Linked DNA regions of Canis lupus familiaris. The protein of the gene in region 1 purifies or fractionates together with the protein of each later gene. This does not show direct contact. Links are inferred from orthologs where the notes say so. Each region holds a gene or a part of one and is shown in the gene's direction. Other genes may lie near its edges.

Region 1 (4,305 bases):
AACCCTCTTGCACTGTTGGTGGGAATGTGAACTGGTGCAGCCATTGTGGAAAACTGTGTGGAGGTTCCTCAAAGAGTTAAAAATAGACCTGCCCTACCACCCAGCAATTGCACTGCTGGGGATTTACCCCAAAGATACAGATGCAATGAAACGCCGGGACACCTGCACCCCGATGTTTCTAGCAGCAATGTCCACAATAGCCACACTGTAGAAGGAGCCTCGGTGTCCATCGAAAGATGAATGGATAAAGAAGATGTGGTTTACTATACAATGGAATATTCCTCAGCCATTAGAAATGACAAATACCCACCATCTGCTTCGACGTGGATGGAACTGGAGGGTATTATGCTGAGTGAAATAAGTCAATCGGAGAAGGACAAACATTATATGGTCTCATTCATTTGGGGAATATAAAAAATAGTGAAAGGTAATAAAGGGGAAAGGAGAAAAAATGAGTGGGAAATATCAGAGAGGGGGACAGAACATGAGAGACTCCTAACTCTGGGAAACGAACAAGGGGTAGTGGAAGGGGAGGTGGGTGGGGGTGGGGGTGACTGGGTGACGGGCACTGAGGGGGGCACTTGATGGGATGAGCACTGGGTGTTATGCTATATGCTGGCAAATTGAACTCCAATAGTTTTTTTTTTTAAAGAAAAAAGGGCCAGTAGGGAAGGCCTCTCGGAGGAAGCGGCCTTTGTGAAGCTACCAGACTAACGAATGGCGTCTGTGGGAATAGGGGGGGCCCAGGCAGCGGGCACAGCCGAAGGCAAGGCCGGGCGGCGGGCGCTGCTAGAAAGCCCTCGGCCTGGGATCCCTAGTTTCCAAGGGTCGAGCTGCGCTGCACCCCGGCTTGGCAGCCTCCAGCGCGCTGGGCTCGCGCTCAGATTCGACGGGCCCGACAGGCACGCGGAGGGCTTCGCGGGTCCGCTGCTGCGCTGGCGCTTCCCCCGCGGCGGGCGGGCTGGGCTCCGCGGGAGCGGCGGGGGGCGGGGCGGGCTCACCTGCGGGGGCGGGGCTTCCGCCCGCCCCGCCCCTCGGAGGAGCCGCCCGCGGCCCGAGACCCAGGGCGCAGCTGGGAGCCGCCGGGCGTGCGCGGTGTGCGGGACGCGGCCCGGCGCATCTCGGCGGAGCGGGTCCCGGAGCCGCCGGCGCTCAGGTGGGCCCCTCGAGTGCTGGGCGGGGGAGTCCCGGGGACCGCGAGGATGGGGGCGGAGGGTGAGGGCTGGGCCCCGCGCACCCTGGGGCCCGCTGGCCTGGCGACGGGGACGGGCCTTGGGGCTCCTGGGCCCCCTGGGCCCTCCTGCCCCGCCCTGGGGCCCCCCCTCCCGGGTCCCGAGGCCCAGCTGGGGCCGCGCCCCCTCCCCGGTGCGCAGGTAAACAGGAGCGAAGACGGGGCGGGGCCTGGGGGGAGGAGGGCGGGGGCCCTTGTGACGGCGGGGGTGGGGAAGCCGGGGTGCGCGGGGCTGGGCCAGGCCGGCCGCGGTAAGGTGTGCGGTTTAGGGGGCTGGCCTGCAGGTGCGGGCGTGGAGATGGGGCGTATGAGAGGCGGTGTGCGAGGCTCAGGTGTGTGTGATGGTGTACGAAGCTCAGGTGTGTGCGCGACGGGCTCCGGCGGTGGGTGCGGGCGAGGAAGGGACAGGGATGGTCCGTGTAACCGTGTGCGGGCGCCCAGGGACTGTGGGAACGACGTGGAGCTGTCTCAGATGCAACACGTGGGCGGACCTCTGTGCGTCTAATGATGGGGGTGGGGGCCGTGTGTATGGGAGGGAGTTGCTCTGTTTATAGGATTAGGTGCGTGACTCAGAGCTTGCGTGGCTGGGGCGGTCTTTCTGCCTGTTAAGGCGCGGGGAGCCGCAGGGAGGTGGGCGATGTGGGACCCGCATGGACGGGGAGGGTGTGCCTGGGATTAACACTGTCAGCTGTGCGGTTGTACGTGTGTGAAAGGGAGTTTGTTGTTCACGGGACTGAGTGTGGGCAAAAATCATGGGAATAATGGAGCTGTCTGAATGACTCCATGAACGTGTGATCGTAACTTTGTGGGGCTTGTGTGTGACACGGAGTATGGTGAGACATGTACACACATATATACGTATAGTGAGAGAGACTGGTGTCTGCACACACGTATATGTAGAGATTGATGGCAGGGGAGAGCCTGCAGTGTAGAAAATCCGTGGATTATGTGCCTGCCTTCCTGTGTGTCTTGGTGTATGATGTTCGTGAGCAGGTAAGTAGGTACCCAAACCACTAGGCTGCTTACGGCGCCCTGGTGGCTTGAGTGAGGCACATGCCCGAGAGGGTCTATGCAAACACCTCTCTGTGTCTCCACAACTGAATCTGAGTTCAGGAATTGTCTGTATGTCCGTGTTTGAAGCTCTGTGTATCTGTGTGTATGCTGTGTGCAGGTGCGTGAATCTCTGGCTGGCCGGGCAAGGTGTTGGGGGAAGTGGGGAAGGAGATGATAGGTCCACAGTGAATCCCAAGAGTGTGTGTGTGTGTGTGTGTGTGTGTGTGTGTGTGTGTGCGCGCGCGCGCGCATGCGTGCCTGGAGGAGGTGATGGGCATGTAATGGAGAGCTAGCTGCTTGCAGGACCTTATAAGTGCGGGAAAGGTGTGTCATGGGGGTAACTGCAAAGAGATAGCCTGAATGTGAGTGATTTGGGATTTGGTTATCTTTTCACTAGTGAGGGGGGACAGAGTTTCTGTGTGTGTTGGCTTTTTTTCCCAAGAGGAAAATACACCAGTGTGTGGGATTATATTTCCAAGAGGGGAGAGCATACATGTGTTGTTTCTGAAAGAGTATGTGGGTGTGCGTGCACGAGCCTGAGTAAGTGTGTTGCGTTTTTTTTTTTTTTTTTTAAGATTTTATTTGAGAGAGAGAATGAGCCAGGGGAAGAGCAGAGGGAGAGGGAGAAGCCTATTGTGGGACCCAATTCTGGAACCCCTGGATCATACTTGAGCTGAAGGCAGGCGCTTAACTGAGCCACCCAGGCACCCTTGGATTAGGTTTTTTGAAAGGAAAATGTGGATGTGTAGGATTGTATTTTTATTTTTTAGAGGAGAAAGAGAGTGTCCTGTATGTCTTGCTTCAGAGAAAATGTATATTATGTTTTTAAGAAAGAAAGGAGTGTGCATGTTGAGCCGTCTTCTTGTAGAGGGGAGTGTGTGTGTGTACGAGCAGGTGTGTTTCTGAGAAAGTACGTATATATTGCACTGCATTTGAAAAAAGAAAGAGCAGGTATTCAGTTTCTGAGAGGAGGAGAACGTGTGTGTCGCATTGTGTATTTAAGAAGGGAGGGTGTGCGTGTGTTGGGGTCTGTTTCTGGGAGGGGAGTGAGTGTGCTTGTGTGTGAATACAGAGGCTACAGAGGCTCCAGCAGCTGTGTCATTGACTTTGTCACCTACATACAACCACATAAAGTGCCACACATGAGACCCCCACCCATTAGCATCTAGGCCTCAGACTCTGAGCTGTCACAGGGCTAGTGTGACATCCATGGGCCGTGCCTGTCACACGTGTGTCCCAACATGCCTTGGGCTGGCGGAGCCTGTCTGCAGTGGAGGGTGGAGTCCTTGTTCCCTTGGGATCCATCAGGCCCTGGGAGCTGACACACAGGCACCCCCCCATCCCCCTAAATCTAGAGGGCTCCTCTGCTTCCAGTGCCCCAGCCCCTTGGCCCTCTCCTCCGGCCCCACCCCTCCAGCCCCAGTGGTCCGACTGGTTCCCAACAAAAACACCCTAAGAATGAGCTCACGGAGAGGCCGCCTCCACATGCCCCGCCCCACACACCCAGCAGAGGCGTGTGCCTCCAGTCCAGGTCACACGGGGAGTCCTGGGGCCAGGTATCTGGGGCCCTTGGGATAGACAGGGCTGGCCAGGTGAGCTGAGGGCAGGTGAGAGGCCACGAGACCACTGGTTGCCCCAGATTTTGAGTGGCCCTCAGGGCAGGGCCCATGGCTGAGGACAGGCAAAGCTAGACTAGAATGTTTCCAGTTGCCAGCTGGCTGGGATGGGTGCGGGACAGGGAGCCGGCCAGGGTGAGGAGGGACTGATGGGCCTGCTTGCCTGGCCCTGACCCCCCAATCCCTGCTACCCACCCCAGGAACAGCAATGTCCGTGCAGGTGGCAGCCCCTGGAAGTGTGGGGCTGGGCCCGGAGCGCCTGAGCCCCGAGGAGCTGGTGCGGCAGACGCGACAAGTGGTGCAGGGGTTGGAGGCCCTGCGAGCAGAGCACCATGGCCTGGCCAGGCACCTGGCGGAGGCGCTGGCAGGACAGGGCCTGGTGGCTGGCTTGGAACTGCTGGAAGA
Region 2 (4,553 bases), on another chromosome or scaffold:
TGCAGAAGCTTTTTATCTTAAGTCCCAATAGTTCATTTTTGCTTTTGTTTCACTTGCCTTCATAGATGTCTTGCAAAAAGCTGTTGTCGCCAAGTTCAAAAAGGGGAGCCCTGCAGCAGTCCGGACGGCTCAGAGGTTTAGTGCGGCCTTCAGCCCAGTGTGTGATCCTGGAGACCCTGGATCGGTCCGCGTGGGGCTCCCTGCATGAAGCCTGCTTCTCCCTCTGCGTCTCTCTATATATATGACTCTCATGAATAAATAAATAAAATCTTTAAAAAGGGGGAACCCTTTTGCACTGTTGGTGGGAATGTGAACTGGGGCGCTGCAGGAACCGTCCGGGGAGTGAGTCCACTCTGGAAAACTGTGTGGAGGTTCCCCAAAGAGTTAAAAATAGAGCTACCCTACTACCCGGCAATTGCACTGCTGGGGGTTTACCCCAAAGATACAGATGCAGTGAAATGGCAGGACACCTGCACCCCGATGTTTGTAGCAGCAACGTCCACAATAGCCAAGCTGTGGAAGGAGCCTCGGTGTCCACCGAAAAATGAATGGATAAAGAATCTGTGATATATATGATATATATATATATATATATATATATCATATATATATACACAATGGAATATTGCTCAGCCATTAGAAACGATGAATACCCACCATTTGCTTCAACGTGGATGGAACTGGAGGGTATTATGCTGAGTGAAGTAAGTCAATTGGAGGAGAATCATTATATGGTTTCACTAATATGGGGAATATAAAATATAGTGAAAGGGATTAAAGGGGAAACGAGAGAAAATGATTGGGAAAAATTCGAGAGGATGACAAAACATGAGACTCCTAACTCTGGCAAACAAACAAGGGGTGGTGGAAGGGGAGGTGGGGGGGGGGGTGACCAGCACTGAGGGGGGCACTTGGCGGGATGAGCACTGGGTGTTATACTATATGTTGGCAAATTGAACTCCAATAAAAAATACATATATACAAAACAAAGGCAGACGCTCAACCACTGAGCCACCCGGGCGCTCAATCTTCTTCATTCCTTAACAGAAACTTCCTTTATCTTTCTTGATCCCCTTCCCACGCACTTCGAACGACAGCTTCAACCGCAGAGCCGGGCCTCGCCCTAGGTTCAAATCTTCCCTTCTCTGGCAAAGCGCCCTGAGAACTAGGAACCAATTTTATCTGCAGACCAAACACTTCCTTATTAGGAATACAGCACTGCATTTAAGTTGACTACAACATAAGGTAGTTTTCACAAACCCCGTGACCCCTGTAGAAAGGAAAGCCAAGCGCGTGTGCCCTGGCTCCGAGACACCTCGCAGCCGGCGGAGCCCAAGTTAGGTCCGTAAGGAGCCGCGGGTAAAACTCGGCTCGGCGGCTCCGGGCGGAGAGCGGCGGCAAGGCGGCTGCGCGGCAGGCGGGCGCGGATTGGTCGGCACCGGCCGGGACCGTCGCGCGTGCGCCCTGCTCCTCGCGCGCCGCCCATCCCGCCGCCCGGTCGCCGGTCTACGGCCTCAGGAGTGGTCGGGCAGCTGCCGGCGAGCCGGCGAGCGCACTGCCGGGCGGGCGAACGGCGTGCCCGGCCTGCCTTCTCCGAGGAAGGAGGGAGCGATTTCCCCGTGCTCTAGACCCCCTTCGAGCCACAGCAGCGGGCCCGAGCCGAGAGGGAGAAGCTGAGGAGCCGCCGCCTCTCCCCGCCGCGCCGCCGCCGCCGCCGCCATAGCTGCCATGATGGATCGGAAGTGAGCCTCCGGGCGACGGCTACCGGCGCCGGCGCTCCCAGTCCGGGCTCCCCGGCAGCTGCCGCCGGGCGAAGCACGACGCGGAGACCCCGGTCTCTCTCGGCCTCCGCGACCCTTCCCGTCAGCGCGGGCCCGCTCGCTTCCAGACTGAGCGGCGGGGAGTGGCTCCCGGCCTCCCGCCCCGGCAGTGAGGAAGATGGCGGACCCGGCCGAGTGCAACATCAAAGTGATGTGTCGCTTCAGACCGCTCAACGAGTCTGAGGTCAACCGCGGCGATAAGTACATCGCCAAGTTTCAGGGAGAAGACACGGTCATGATCGCGGTGAGTGCCCCCGGCCCGCCCCTCCGTCCAGCTCCTCTGGGCCAGGCTGGACGCGGGGTTCAAAGAGTGGGTGGCGGGGTGTAACATGGAGAGCGGACAGGGGTATCCGCAGCCCGCCCCCCGGCAGCATTTGCAGGTTCAGAGGGCGGTGGGGAGGGATGCTCCTGGATCGCCCCCACCCCGGCCCCAAGTGCCGGGAGAAGGGAGGCTCCCGGTCCGGGTCTGGACACTCCCCCACCTGGGGCGCTGCAGGAACCGTCCGGGGAGTGAGTGGGGTGCACGTCTGCCTGTGTTTGCGCGTGTGCGCGGTTACTGTTGCTTTGGACTACCTCCAAGTTTACTATTTGTAACACGTGCAAGATGGAAGTTCAGCTAGGAATGCTGAGCTTTAATGATCGGCTTTCCTGTACCTTAAATAGTAAAGATACTTAGTTGTATGGAAATGAAAGATTAGCTACTTATGGACTATATTTGCCTCTCGGGAGGAAGAAAATTATCAAACAACTACAAATATGCATGTATTTCCTGAGTTCACCCACCTGCCCTTTGAGTGATGAATGAACGTTCTATGAAGTACTACAAGCGGCGAATCGAGGACTGTTAAAAGACCTGAGTTTTCTTGTGAAATGGGAGTGAGCAGTTTTGTTCAGGTTTCTAGCACATCTAGCCAACTCAGATTGGGTCAAGTAAGTGCCCAGAATTATATAATCTCTTAGTGGGTTTTATGGGGTAACAGTATAGCGAAGAGTGTTAACTTATTGTGTGTGTATCAAAGTATCATAAACCAGGCTTTTAAAAAAATAAAATTTAATCAGTAAACTGGATTTCTTGTTTAGTATTCGATCCCTAGTTCTATCTTGAAGAGAAATTGATTTTGATAATCTCGAGGATGGAGAAATAGTGTCGTTTGGAGTATAAAACATAGCCAGAGTTGGCTGATTGTTGTCAGGGAAACCTAGATGTAAGGTTTATTTTTTATTTTTATTGGTTTTTTTTTTTTGAGGTTTGATATCTGGTATTGAAAGGTCTCTGAAAATATTTTGCATTCGTAATTCAAGATTAAAATGGGTTGTAGGACACTGCCTACAGAATACTGAATTGTGACTAAAAATTAAATTTATATTTCTTGGTAATGCCATTGTGGCAGAACTTTTTTCTACATGGCTATCCTGGTACAAAATCTAAATGTTAATTTTTTTTTCTCCCATGGCATTCCATATTTAGCATATTGTTTGCACAGTTTAGTTTGGAAATAGGACAAAGAAGGTCACAGGAGAAGGGACTTTGATAATTAAAAGCATTGATCTATAAAACAAGACTGAAGTTCTTTAAAAGTTTTTGTGTGACAGTTTGCAAAGTTCAGCTTTAGAAAAATGAATGTTATAGCTCTTTGTTGCTGGGTAGGCTTTTGGCAACAAGTCATTAAATTGCATACGAATAACTGCCAGCTACTGTGTGAAGACTGGGGGGGCTGGTTTTTTGTTAACAAGTTCTTGGGAGAAACTATAAATGACGTGTTAACACTAAGAAGCACAGAAGTAGTCACCTTTTCCTTTAGAATGCTCTCTGACGTGGAATCAGGAAGCTTGCAAGGGCTGGGTTAGTTGGCAAACTGGATACTAGTTTCTCATAGAATTTTTGTGATTATTGAACTATGGCAGTAATTGACACAAAACAATTTTCCTTTTAGACTTGTATTAAGAATGTATTATTTTTTGCAGATTTGCGTCGGTGTTCAAACAAATCTATAAGTATTATCAAGATTCATTTGTAGGAATGATAAGATTTAGGATTCACAAACTATGTTGAGAAAGCAACTTTCTGCCCAAATACGACATATGAGGAGTTAAAAGAAAAAAATTAATTACCACAGGAAGCACACTTGTATACTAGGTTATTTCCTTTGGATAAAGTTCTTAAAAGTTCCTTATTTAAGTTTCTTAACAATGTAAATAAATTTAAATGATAATAGAAATAAAGGATAGGTGATTGAATTGTGAATCAGTAATACACACTTGGCCTTTAGGTAAACTGGTAACCATTTTTAGTCTTTTTTCTTTTTTAAGTTTAAGCAGAAATACAACGAAGTCACATGGCCCTAAAGGGGCCATGTTTAGTTCATATTTTCAAGAACTGGTCTTTTGATATACAAAGTCATTGATTACTCTGAGGTCTCAATTTTTTTAATGAATTTTTTAAGGCTGTTTGAAAATTTATAAGGGATAGCTGGGAGAGTGAAATTTGAAAATCTTTAGGTAAAGTCATGTCTTGGTTTGTTTTGTTCATTTTACTAAATCCTGATTCAAAATCAACAGTTTTAAGAAGGAATTGCTGCAATGCGGCATTTAAAACTAAATTATTTTAAACATGTTTTTAAAACACTTGTACACGATCTTCTGGTTAAATTAAAGGACAGCTATTTTAGCTTATAATGTTACTGAATGAGAGATATAATCTGTGCTCCTATAGAAAATAATTTTTAAGGATTC

Evidence for each region.
Region 2: the proteins of KLC3 (region 1) and KIF5B purify together in Homo sapiens (affinity purification with mass spectrometry; 3 studies listed by BioGRID and IntAct, with this or other methods). This does not show direct contact. The link is inferred for Canis lupus familiaris from reciprocal best matches to the Homo sapiens genes KLC3 and KIF5B.

What each region holds. Positions count from the first base shown.
Region 1 is NC_049222.1:110,906,938-110,911,242, reverse strand, and holds the start of KLC3 (kinesin light chain 3), read left to right. Parts: upstream 1-1,486; 5' UTR 1,487-1,529; coding exon 1,530-1,590; intron 1,591-4,100; coding exon 4,101-4,305. UniProt on the Homo sapiens protein: Kinesin is a microtubule-associated force-producing protein that may play a role in organelle transport. Plays a role during spermiogenesis in the development of the sperm tail midpiece and in the normal function of spermatozoa.
Region 2 is NC_049223.1:12,675,327-12,679,879, forward strand, and holds the start of KIF5B (kinesin-1 heavy chain), read left to right. Parts: upstream 1-1,486; 5' UTR 1,487-1,938; coding exon 1,939-2,064; intron 2,065-4,553. Other genes in the region: phosphate carrier protein, mitochondrial-like, read right to left, coding at 1,086-1,182, 1,316-1,486. UniProt on the Homo sapiens protein: Microtubule-dependent motor required for normal distribution of mitochondria and lysosomes. Can induce formation of neurite-like membrane protrusions in non-neuronal cells in a ZFYVE27-dependent manner.